Danio rerio: one gene and its partners. The protein of the gene in region 1 interacts with the protein of each later gene in a pairwise test. Links are inferred from orthologs where the notes say so. Each region holds a gene or a part of one and is shown on either strand. Other genes may lie near its edges. The genes, in order: banp, tox4a and foxm1.

The links.
Region 2: the proteins of banp (region 1) and tox4a interact in binary tests that used the Homo sapiens proteins (3 or more experiments, as listed by UniProt). The two-hybrid records come from large-scale screens. The link is inferred for Danio rerio from reciprocal best matches to the Homo sapiens genes BANP and TOX4.
Region 3: the proteins of banp (region 1) and foxm1 interact in binary tests that used the Homo sapiens proteins (3 or more experiments, as listed by UniProt). The link is inferred for Danio rerio from reciprocal best matches to the Homo sapiens genes BANP and FOXM1.

Annotation. Positions count from the first base shown.
Region 1 is NC_133200.1:32,860,774-32,864,430, forward strand, and holds part of banp (protein BANP), read left to right. Parts: coding exon 1-65; intron 66-155; coding exon 156-238; intron 239-3,252; coding exon 3,253-3,452; intron 3,453-3,657. UniProt on the Homo sapiens protein: Controls V(D)J recombination during T-cell development by repressing T-cell receptor (TCR) beta enhancer function. Binds to scaffold/matrix attachment region beta (S/MARbeta), an ATC-rich DNA sequence located upstream of the TCR beta enhancer.
Region 2 is NC_133177.1:41,098,072-41,101,728, reverse strand, and holds part of tox4a (TOX high mobility group box family member 4-B), read left to right. Parts: intron 1-886; coding exon 887-1,138; intron 1,139-1,222; coding exon 1,223-1,543; intron 1,544-3,657. UniProt on the Homo sapiens protein: Transcription factor that modulates cell fate reprogramming from the somatic state to the pluripotent and neuronal fate. In liver, controls the expression of hormone-regulated gluconeogenic genes such as G6PC1 and PCK1.
Region 3 is NC_133179.1:6,237,906-6,242,325, reverse strand, and holds the start of foxm1 (forkhead box protein M1), read left to right. Parts: upstream 1-1,520; 5' UTR 1,521-1,632; exon of another isoform or gene 1,633-1,771; intron 1,772-3,899; 5' UTR 3,900-3,933; coding exon 3,934-4,303; intron 4,304-4,420. UniProt on the Homo sapiens protein: Transcription factor regulating the expression of cell cycle genes essential for DNA replication and mitosis. Plays a role in the control of cell proliferation. Also plays a role in DNA break repair, participating in the DNA damage checkpoint response.

The DNA of each region.
Region 1 (3,657 bases):
GCAAGATTTAGTGGAAATAGTCCAGATTGCAGTGGCGGATTTAAATCATGAAGGACACCAAACAGGTAAGTCCACCTTAAAAAATACCATATATGTTTATACATGAAAGTGTTTGTGGTTTCCTACTAATGTAATTCATTTTTATTTTATACTAGATGTTCTGGAGAATAATGAAGACTCTGATCAACCAGGGAGGAAACGAGCAAGAATTGAGATCAGTCAAGAAACATCTATCAAGGTAGCTTTCTAATGTCATTAAAGGGTTGTTTCACCATCACTCACCCTCGTCCACATGTTGTCCCAAACCAAATTTTGGTTCCTCTTTTGAAGGTCTATTTTCCCAAAACTATAATGCTTCATTCGACAATTAAAAAGGAATCAAAAAAGCATGAACAAAGCAGTTTAATCCAAGTCTTATTTATATAATGGACAGATGTAATTCTGGCCTTTATTCACATATAAACAGAGATGTATAAAGTACTAGAGACCCAGACTTAAGTAAAAGTATAAGTCCTCTATCAAAAAAGTGACTTGAGTAGAAGTTGAAATGCTCCAAGCACCATACTTAAATGGAAGTACTAAAGTATTCAACATTTTTTGTACTTAAATATTGTAAGTAAAAGTACAAGTATTGTGTAATGTAGTTCTTAAAGAAAGCAGTCAAAAGACATATTGTTTTGCTTATTTGAAATATCTTTTTTTGGGGCACATGATTAAGCGAACGAAAAGAAACATGGCTTACGGTTTATATGAACTAGGATAACGTTTTTCTCTCGCTTGAACCACAGATCTGACAGATTATAACAGCTTTAACACACACCTTTCACTCCAATTTCTGTAATTCACTCAAAACGCTATTGAAACCCATTTTCGGCTTGCAAATTACGGTTGTAAACGCCGTAAACGGGAGTTCTAAACATTCTGCCGGAAGACACTGGTCACTATGGTGCCCTCCATGCAGCAGCCAAGAAAAAGGTCTATAATTGTAAGGAGTAGAGGTGTGAATCTACACTGGTCTCACGGTTTGGTTCGGTTACCATTATCATGCTATCGATTCGGTTCAATTCGATATCTCGGTGCACTGACAATGCTTTCCATACATAATTCGATTTTGTCTTCACAACACAAGAATTTTTTTTCATTAAAATCTATAAATATATATATGAATGTCTGTTGAATGACCTCCCACCCTACTCATAATTCTCTTTTCATATCCATAAAACACTGTGATATAGCCGGGCTCGGATTGTATTGCTTTCTCACTACAATTAATCTGCTCCAGAGTTCGTTTGAATCGAGCTGAGACCATCTCATTCAAGCGATCTCGAAGCGATTGTTTTGGCGCAGATCCGAGCGCGATTGCTAGATTGCAAACGAGACAGGTTCCGAAACAAAGGTCTAGGTATGAAAGTACCCTTAAACTCATTGAAGATATGTACTGAAGTAAAAGTGGAAATAGGAGAAAAAAACAATACTCCAGCAGAGTGCAGATACAGCCTTTTAGTACTTAAGAACAGTAGTGAAGTAGTTCTACTTCGTTACTATACATCTCTGCATATAAATAATAATCATGGAGTAAAAACTGAAGCAATGATTCTCCTTTTTGGTTATTGTTCATCAGTCAAGCATGCTTGCTCATTGTTTGATGAGTTGTGAGTTTAATGTTCACCATAAAAAACAACAATTGTGTGTCTGCAGAATTTGACATTTTTTGCTATTTCTGCGCGGAATTTTGTAAAAACAAATTTATGCTAAATGATTTTGAAAATAAAGTAACTAAATACATGGAATAATTAAATATAACCCTTTTTTTAAATTTAAGGTTTACAAAGCAAACCCATTTGTTTGGTAAACAAAGTCAGTTTCTCATTTAATATATCTACTAAAAAGACTGTTACATTACAAACTGTTACATTACAAACTGTGTTAAATAAATCATATAAACATTAGCAAATTATTAAGTAATATTACTGCAGGTAATATAAAATATATATTCACTCACATTTACATAGTTAAACAAATAGACAAAAAAAAAAAAAAATTGGTGGAAATCTGTGAATTCGCAGATTCCGTACGGGCCTACATATGGGTTATGATGATAGATTTTAAATTTTGGAATGAACTAAAATCAGGGCTCCAAATCTGAATATTCAATAGTGTCAACAGTCATCCTCGTGCATGCACATATAAAAATCAACAGTAAAAAATAGGTGTGTTTTGCATTTAAAAATATATAGCAGGGAAAATAAGTATCCAGCACGTCATGTTTTTTGTTGGGAATAATATTTCTAAAGAAGCAGTTGACATGGAATTGAACCAGATTTTGGTAAAAACCCAAACAATACAAACAAAAATAAAACAAAACAAATCTAAAAAATAAATTTTGTGTAATAGCAATGAAATGACACAAGGCGAAAGTACTGAACTACTAAAACAGAAGCAGGAAATCAGAGCACATCACACCTGTCCTCAGGTCTCTACACTGGCTCCCAGTTACATTCAGAATAGATTTTAAAGTATTGTTACTGGTCTATAAATCACTAAATGGCCTAGGACCTCAATACATAACAGATATGCTGATTGAATACAAACCTAACAGATCTCTCAGATCATTAGAATCATATAAACTAGAAATTCCAAGAGTTCTGTCAAAGCAGGGTGAATCCGCCTTCAGCCACTACGCCCCTCGCTGCTGGAATCAGCTTCCAGAAATGATCAGATGTGCTCCAACATTAGGCACATTCAAATCGAGACTGAAAACACATCTGTTTAGCTGTGCCGTTACTGTATAAGCACTGTGCTGCGTCCGACAGATTGCACTATTATGTTTTTCGTTTTCTTTTTCATGTTTTTATAACCTATTTTAACTCATTTTAATTTGTTTTTATCTGTTTTTAATATTTTTTATTGTCTGCATTTTATGTTCTAAACTTGTCGTTTTTTATTCCTGTTTATGTAAAGTACTTTGAATTGCCACTGTGTATGAAATGTGCTATATAAATAAACTTGCCTTGCCTAAAACGTGTTAAATACTTTATATAAAAGGCTTTTTTTAATGATGGCAGCTTAAAGACGCCTCTTGTATGGAGAATGAAGTCACATGAATTGCTCAGGTGTAAGTTTTTCACACACTTCAACAGTGTGCAAAAATCTTGATGGTTATGTGGGTCTCATCTATCAATAAATGACATTTTCATCTGGTATTAAATATAATTAGATATTTTACCAATTTCTGTATTTCTGTTTCTCCAGTCGATGTTGATATCCATCAGTCAGGCGATCTGCCAGCGGCTGGACAGTATGGAAGCAAAGCTGCAGGTTCTTGAGGTGACCTGTCGAGGTTTAGTGGAGAAACTGGACACAGTGATGGGCAAGAACCAGTCAACGATTCAAGTACCCATGGTGTCCGGGTCCCCATTCGGAGCCACTCAGACTTGTGACAAAGTACGCTGGTAAGTGGACCATAGGTCATGTGATTTATACACCAGCACCATTCATTAAATGGTTGGTTCTGTTTATTTTTTTCTTTATTTCTGCCCGTTTTTACGGCGTACAACATATGTTATAAATGACAACAGGGTCCCCGCGGGGTCTTAAAAGTCTTAAATTAAAAAATCGATATGTATGGCTTTAAAAAGTCTTAAATTCGCTGTTCTA
Region 2 (3,657 bases), on another chromosome or scaffold:
TTACCATGCCAACTTTAATGTAATACAGTTTGGTATATTTAGCTTCGGCCCAGCACCCTTAATCAAGTTTGGTTTTTGGCCCTTCGTAAGAAAGTTAGGGCACCCCTGGTTTACAGGGAATTTAGGCACAAATCTTGTAACATGCCCTATGACCCAATCCTACTTGTTCAGTAGTCGTTTTTAAGTGCATGCATGAATGAGTATTTCTAAAAATTTCTTTCTTGACATAAAATTATTTTCAAACTAGTGCTGTATGATATTAGAAAGATCTGACATTGCATTTTATGGTAGTTTAAAAGTAATCAAAATCGACATTCACAATTTATAATCAATCAAATTTTTTCAGATACATTTTTTTTTTCAATTACTTTTCCTACCATTTGTGAATTCAAATGACTCCATTCTGGGCTGATTTATACTTATTGTATTATGATTTGTACTACTTGCATTATTTTGATATTATGCTTCTGCCAAGAGCACATGTACGGTCCGGCACAGCCTTCACATACAAAAAAAAAGTAATTACACATCACAACTGTTATAGCTACACTTTACTGTACAAAGCTTGTCACAAAACCTGTCACTTTATGTAACTTGTTAACTATGAGGGCAAAAACAAAAGAAATTAAATAATTGTTCATTAATCATAATCGAGTTAAATTATTCAATTAATCGAGATTTTAGTTTTAGACCAAATCATATAAAACTGTATAACAGTTTTAAATATCCTGAGAATGCTTTTATTTTTAAATGAGAGATGTGTATTATTGCCTCCATACTTCTTGCTTTTACAAATGACCTTTTAAATGGCTGTTAATGTAATTAGATCTAGAGTGTAGATTGCACTTTCAGATCATGAATCTTTCTCTTTCCCCCTTTTTTTTAGGATCTTGGCCATTCTGTTGGCTCTCATTTCGCTAGTTCCTCCTCCATGACTATTGATGTTCCAATAAACGAAATGAGCCACAGCCTCTTAGGACACAACCAGCTCACCACCATAGACCACTCAGATCTAAGTGCCCAGTTAGGGCTCAGCCTTGGTGGAGGATCTGTGTCAAAATCACCAGACCAACCGCTGTCAACCACACCGTCCCCTTCTGGATCACTGCAGGATGAAGACATGGAGGATTTTAGACAAGTGAGTTTTTGAGATATAAGCCTGTTTTGGTGGCACATTTTCATTATTTTTTCATCTTGCAACATCTCCCGGTTTCTTTCTCAGAAAACCATGCTGGTAGACTCTTTCGCTGTCTCTGAGCCCAGTCCAGCCCAGATATCTGTTCCTCCACCTGTGGTGAGGAGGGTGGGTGGTAAGCCATCCATGGTGCCAGTGGCCACAGTGGACACAGGAGCATCACTCGGGGTCAAAAAGGGAAAGAAGAAAAAAGATCCTAATGAGCCACAGAAACCAGTGTCAGCCTATGCTTTGTTCTTCAGAGACACACAGGCTGCCATTAAAGGCCAGAACCCCAATGCCACATTTGGAGAGGTGTCTAAGATAGTGGCCTCCATGTGGGACAGCCTGGGAGAGGAGCAAAAACAGGTATGGAGTCCTTAATAATGCTCTTCTGTTCATGTACCAGGCTTAAAGATGCAGAATGCAATTAGGTATTGCATTTTTTTTTACATGGTTCCTCCAATAACAACATGACGTACACGCAGGTTGCCAGATTAATGATAACAATAAATTACGAGCATTGCTGAAGATCGTGCCTTATCCTGACTATGTTTGCATGGACATCAGTAATCTAATTATTTGCCTTAATCTGAATAAGACAATAATAAGAGTAAGGTGTTTAACATGAGCTGCTTTTTGAATGTTCCTTTCATGATCCTGTTTTACGTTATAGTATATAGTTCGTTAAACGTCTATACATCAACATTCAACACTAATTTCATTCAGCGTTTTACATAAGTTCGCGTTCATCATGGCACCCAGTGCTTCCCACTCATAGACTTTGCTCAGGCGGGTCGCCCAGGAATATTAACAGCTGCCCAATTGACACAATTTTTTAGTATTATTGTCATACTTTTACACTTTTTGTATCATCCCAACATAACCAAACATCCGCAATTGATTAAGTAGGTGAAAATTATGTTGAACTGTCAACACTCCCACAGACAGTCTCAAGTGCTCTGCAGACCCACAGAGACGTGCTTTTTTTGGGACTTTTTTGGGAAATTTGCCTGCCCCCTGTTTCTAAAGCTGCTAAAATGTCTGGGATTCAGCTTTTGCTTTTACATTTTAAAGCTGTCATTATGCGTTTTTGCATTACATTTTTATTTAAGCTTACTTTCGCTTGGCGTCACAGCTGACAGCGCAGTTGCGAGAGCAAGAGAAACATTAAACAATTCATTCTCTAATCTAAACTGGCTGCAAAATATATGTACAACATTAGTAATGGTTAATCAATGCGTCTGCCTTATTTAAATAATCTACACGTTTTAATCTTGTAATTATGGTCATTTTAGAGATATTGTCTGTTTTTATTTATTTTTTTGTTCATCATTTGCTGTATATTTTAATTTAATTATGTCAATATATTGTGTGTTTTATATGCATATCAAAAATGCTTTGACCTGCAAGTTTGCTTTAAACTTGAGAGGGAGAAGCAAGTTTTACCTGTCAGTGGGTGCACATGGCTCCTGAATAGTTTTTTTTTTATTTTATTTTTTTTACTTTAACCCATTGAAAAGAAACCATGTATAACAGTGTCATAATAAATACAATTATTGTTAAAAATTAAATTGTTTTGTTTGTCGCATATTGTTAACTATTTATTTGATGTGGGTAAATGGTGTGTTTTAATCTGGCTATCACCACAAGTATATTTCAAACCTGTGGGAAGCACTGGCACCATATGTGATTTTGGATGTTTTGTTATTAATTTCAGTTTAAGTTCAACTGCAGTTAATTTCTCACACTATGCATGCAAACAAATGACAGCGGATACAAATTCTCAAGTAACAGGCCACCTCTGCCATTTCATACACTAGCTTTTCATTTGTTTGTCGTCAAATGCCTGACAACTACCATGTGTGCATCCTGTCGCAAAATGTAGTGAAAAGTACTTCAAAACAGTAATAATTTGATTAAAGTGTTTATGTCTGTACTGCACTTCAATAATGCCCCTAAATTACAGATACTTCACATCTTTGCAATGCGATTACTGTACAGTTTGATTCTTACTTTAGTCAGAAGAATAAGGTAATCAAAAATTTCTGTTTACATGGTAGACTCTTAAGAGTATTGACTTAATCGTATTAACATTGGAGTATTGGTGTTTATGTAAATGTGCTCCCTGTAAGCTAAACAGCTGATGGTTATGTTGGGAAACTTTCAATTGTTTGCAAAATAAAATCTCATAGATTTTTATGACTCTTGTATCTCATTTCGGAGGTTACTGCTGTCTTCCGGAGGTTGCAATTTTAGCTGCGCCTGCATACACTGAGGCAGCCTTCAAAACTGAAAAGAAATATGGGGTGTTTTCCACCAAGGCAGCCTGGTGTGCTGAAATATGATTGGGTAAACTGGCAGTGGGCTGGTTATTGAGACCAAAACTAAGACAGACATTCCGACATGGAGCGCACATTTTCAAAGGAGAATAACAGACTTGAATTCTTGTTTTTCAGATAAACAAGTGTTCACTTATGCAG
Region 3 (4,420 bases), on another chromosome or scaffold:
AATTGACAAGATGTAACGTTAGCATAGATGTTAACAACACAGAAAGTTCGCTCGTAAGGAAATGCATGGCATACAATGCAAACTTCAGCTAATACTCACGCATTGCTTTGTATTTCTTCTCAATTGCATTGTTTTTTTCCTTTGGACCATGAAAATGTGAACAGAGAAAGACTGTTTGGGCGAGGTTTGTTGGAATTTTATCCCTCATTCATGCACTTTCATCCCCCTTTTTAGAAATGAAAAAGTGATTGAATGTTGGCTAGCATAAGCATGTAATGAAACAAGAGGCGGGGCTTTGCGACCACGGCTTTAATGTGATTGGTCAGATAGGATTGGTCCAAATGACAATTAAAACGTAAATATAGATATATTATTCGTTGTGTTTCCACCAATAATATTATTTTAATACGTGTTACTAACGTATGCAGGACGAAATCTGCTAAAACAAAAAAAATAAATAAATAAATACGCAAATATATAAATAAATGAGTAAATAAATTCATCAATTCCTGCATAAATAAAATTAATAAATACGCAAATATATAAATAAAAGAGCAAATAAATCCATAAATTCCGGCATAAACAAAATTATAAATAAATAAACCTGCAAATATATGTTAATTAAATTATAAATAAAATATATAAATAAATAAGTAAATGTTTGCAGAAAATACTGCATAAATAAAATAATAAATAAATATGCAAATATATAAATACAAGAGTAAATGAATCCATAAATTCCTGCATATAAATATAAATAATTAATGGTGTGGCCAGGTAAATAATTGTGTAACTTATACAAATGTTGGGGGAATAAGAAAATGCTAAACTGAAAGTTTATTATTTAGATTTAGATGCAGCTTTGTATTGCTTAATGTTGAATGTTTCAGTTGTAAAAATTATAATGTGTATGTCAGAGGAGCCACCGATCGCCCCCTAAAGGGAAATTATTTACTGCAGTGTGCATTACTTGCAGAAATGCACTACTTGTGGTGGCTCCGCCCATATGTGTTCGCCATTGGCCACCACGTGATCACGTGAGAGCGCAGCACCGCTCTGCGCCAAAATTCAAAATCTCACCAAATGCTCACAAGAATCCTGCGACCCGAGTCTTATATTTACCTTTATCAAAATACATTCTAGCAATCAACACTGCCTGATTAACTCAAATAAAGCACCGTCTGCACGGCTGACATGATATGAAGGTTTGATCCGCTTTGTATTGTTTGATATGGGTTTATTTTAATGCATTACAACAGGAATTTACGTGTATAGCAAGTTAGCAGGGTGGGTATGCAAATAACTAGGCCGCATGTCAGATAATAAAGCACGATCGCGTTAACTTTAATAATAAAATGTATGATTAGGACAATAACATGTATTTAAGTGTTATATTATGACGTACAACGCGATTGAAGGTCTATGCAATAACAAAATATTATTTTACAGACCTGAATTGGAGCAATGTTATGTCCTTTTGTTTCTGAATGATCTGTCATCGTCATCACCCTCATAATAACAAGACGTCAAATTGAATGTAATCAATTTATAACGGTATTTCATCTTTCAGAACTACAAACGTCATTTTGGAGTCGTTAGCCAGAAGCGTCGGTTAAACAGATCTTTTAATCGGTATATTCTCCGCTATTTGCGATAATATTTGATATATGTCAATAATTAATGTGTATTTTCTATACGAGCACTTGATTTAATATTTTCACGCTATTATTTGGGTGGTTTATCATTGTTACACTTCTGCAAAGCTTCCAGTGTAAGTAACAACAGCTCAATTCTTGTTTATTTAACATTATAAGTTTTTTCATATATATATATATATATATATATATATATATATATATATATATATATATATATATATATATATATATATATTTATTTATTTATTTATTTATTTATTTATTTTTATACGCTTTTTCTATGTATATATGCTTTATTATTCCAAAACAACTTTACAAAAGGAATATGTTATTAATGTTTCAATCAGATAAAGTTAATGTGGACAGTAAATATGTATAGTTAGCATGCAGATAAACAGTTCCTGAATATACTGTATTTAGAAAAGAACTATTGAGTTCATCTTTATTTCTATAGTGCTTTTACAATGTAGATTGTGTCAAAGCAACTCAACAGAAAAGTTCTAGTAAATTTAAACTGTGTCAGTCCAGTTTTCAGAGTTGAAGTTCAGTTCAGTGGTTTAGGCATGGGACGATAACCCTTTTCAAGGTATACCGCTGTTTGGAAAAGTCAAGGTTTTAAAAAAACGCCAACATTGTCTGCTATACTGTTCCTAAGGTATGTGTAAGATTTTTTTTTTCAGCTTTTTAGGTCAACAGTATCACCGGCAGAAAAAAAAATCCAAAGATGCTGCTTTAAATTGTAAAGAAATCTGTGTTTTTGAAACTAACGAAGAGAGCAGCCTGACATGTTTACTGCTTCAAAATATGTTAAATGTTTCTCAAAATAAAATATATTGTGTTCAAAAGGGGAAAAAAAGTTTTTAGTTTTTTCAGGGTGTCCGCTGGGTCTTAAAATATCTTAAATTTCAAAAACTAAATTTAAGGCCCTAAAAAATGTACTCAAATATGCTGTTGTGGGTCTTAAATACATTTAAACAGGTCATAATTTTCACTAATTGTCCATTTAAAGCGATAGCCAATCAGTACAACCAACAAATCCTTAAAAAAAAAAAAAGTTTAACAAAATTAACTTTTATTAATTATTTAGCAGTATGGTTTAATTGTCATCCTTACAATAGCATTTGTTTAAAAATTCTCAGTTTTTATGCATAAATTTATGTTGAGCATAAATGTTTATTATAGCTTTTAAAACTTCGAGACATTCTGATTGTCTTTAATTTAATATTGTTTATGCTACATTGTATTTGTGAAAAATATTTTGTTTTGGTCTGGTTTTCAGAAGTCTTTTAGATTAATATCCCATTGTGAGTGTCGATTAAATAAATGACACCAAAAAATACAGTTTTTTTTATATATAGCATTTTGAAATAATCTAGAAGTTTAAGGTGTAGTTACCCTTAAAATAAATATTAACCTTGATTTAGACCTCCGAATTTTAAAAATATTTTATTATCTATATTTAATAGGAAATCAAATTACATTTTGAAAAATTTTATTTTATGTTGTGCATAAATTTAGTTTATTATAGCTTTTAAAACTGGTCTTTTTTTAAAGAAGGGTTATGCTAATAAAAATGTAAAACTAGAGTTTGCTTGTTTTGACACATTATTTAAAATATATGGCTAAGAAATAACTGAATTTTAATTTTAATTGGGCAAATCAAAAAATACACCGGGTATTACAGAAAATTATTAGAGTTTTGCCATGTGATAGTCTGAAATTTTATTGAAAATGGTTATAAAAAGTCTTAAATTTGACTTGATGAAACCTGCAGAAACCCTGTTTTTACCCAGACATTTAAAAATAAAGATATTTTTATCCAAGGTTATCATGTCACAATCTTATATCGGCCCATGCCTAGTTCATTCATTCATTTTCTTTTCGGCTTAGTCCCTTTATTAATCCAGGGTAGCCACAGCGGAATGAACCGCCAACCTATCCAGCCCGTTTTTAAGCAGCGGATGCCCTTCAAGCTGCAACCCATCTCTGGCAAAGCCCATGCCTAGTGTGGTTTAAATTTCTCTGCTTCTCTGCTCCAAACACTTGGAGAGCAAATCCATCAATGCGTAGCTTCACAAGTACCAAAACCCAGCAAGCCAGTGGCGAGGAACAAACTTCACCAATTGACGAAAGTGAAGGAAATAAAAGTTCAAGAGAAACTTGGCTTAGTTGGAACAATCAATGTTTTCTAACAAATTTTGTAAACATTACATTTGATCTGTTTTATGTTATATCAAACAGGTGTTTAAACAGGCCCATTTGCTGTGAGCAAACAATGAGGGAGAGCCCAAGGAGACCCATCATCCTAAAGAGGAGGAAGCTGCCATTTCTGAAGAGTGAATCTGATCTGGGGTGTGATGAAGCTGATGGGACTCGCTGTAAGACCACCTCGACCCAGTCCACTGCTCGCAGCTTCCCTGATGGCATCCGTGTTATGGACCACCCTACTATGCCGGACACACAGGTGGTGGTGATCCCGAAATCAGCCGATCTGCAGAGTGTCATCAGTGTCTTGACGGCCAAGGGGAAGGAGTGTGGGCCTCAGGGGCGAAACAAGTTCATCCTGCTCAGTGGAGACACCAGTTTGGAGGAGAGCAAAACCCTTGGGTGTTTTTCTACAGAACTTGGGTCTGAGCTTGGGAAAGGTGAGTTATCTCCACCAATCAGCTGGTTTATTGGTGTGCGGTCTGGAGCAATATGGTAGATGAGGAGATTCCTCCCAATGTGTAAAGCACTTTTGAGCGTCTTAAAAATGCTACATA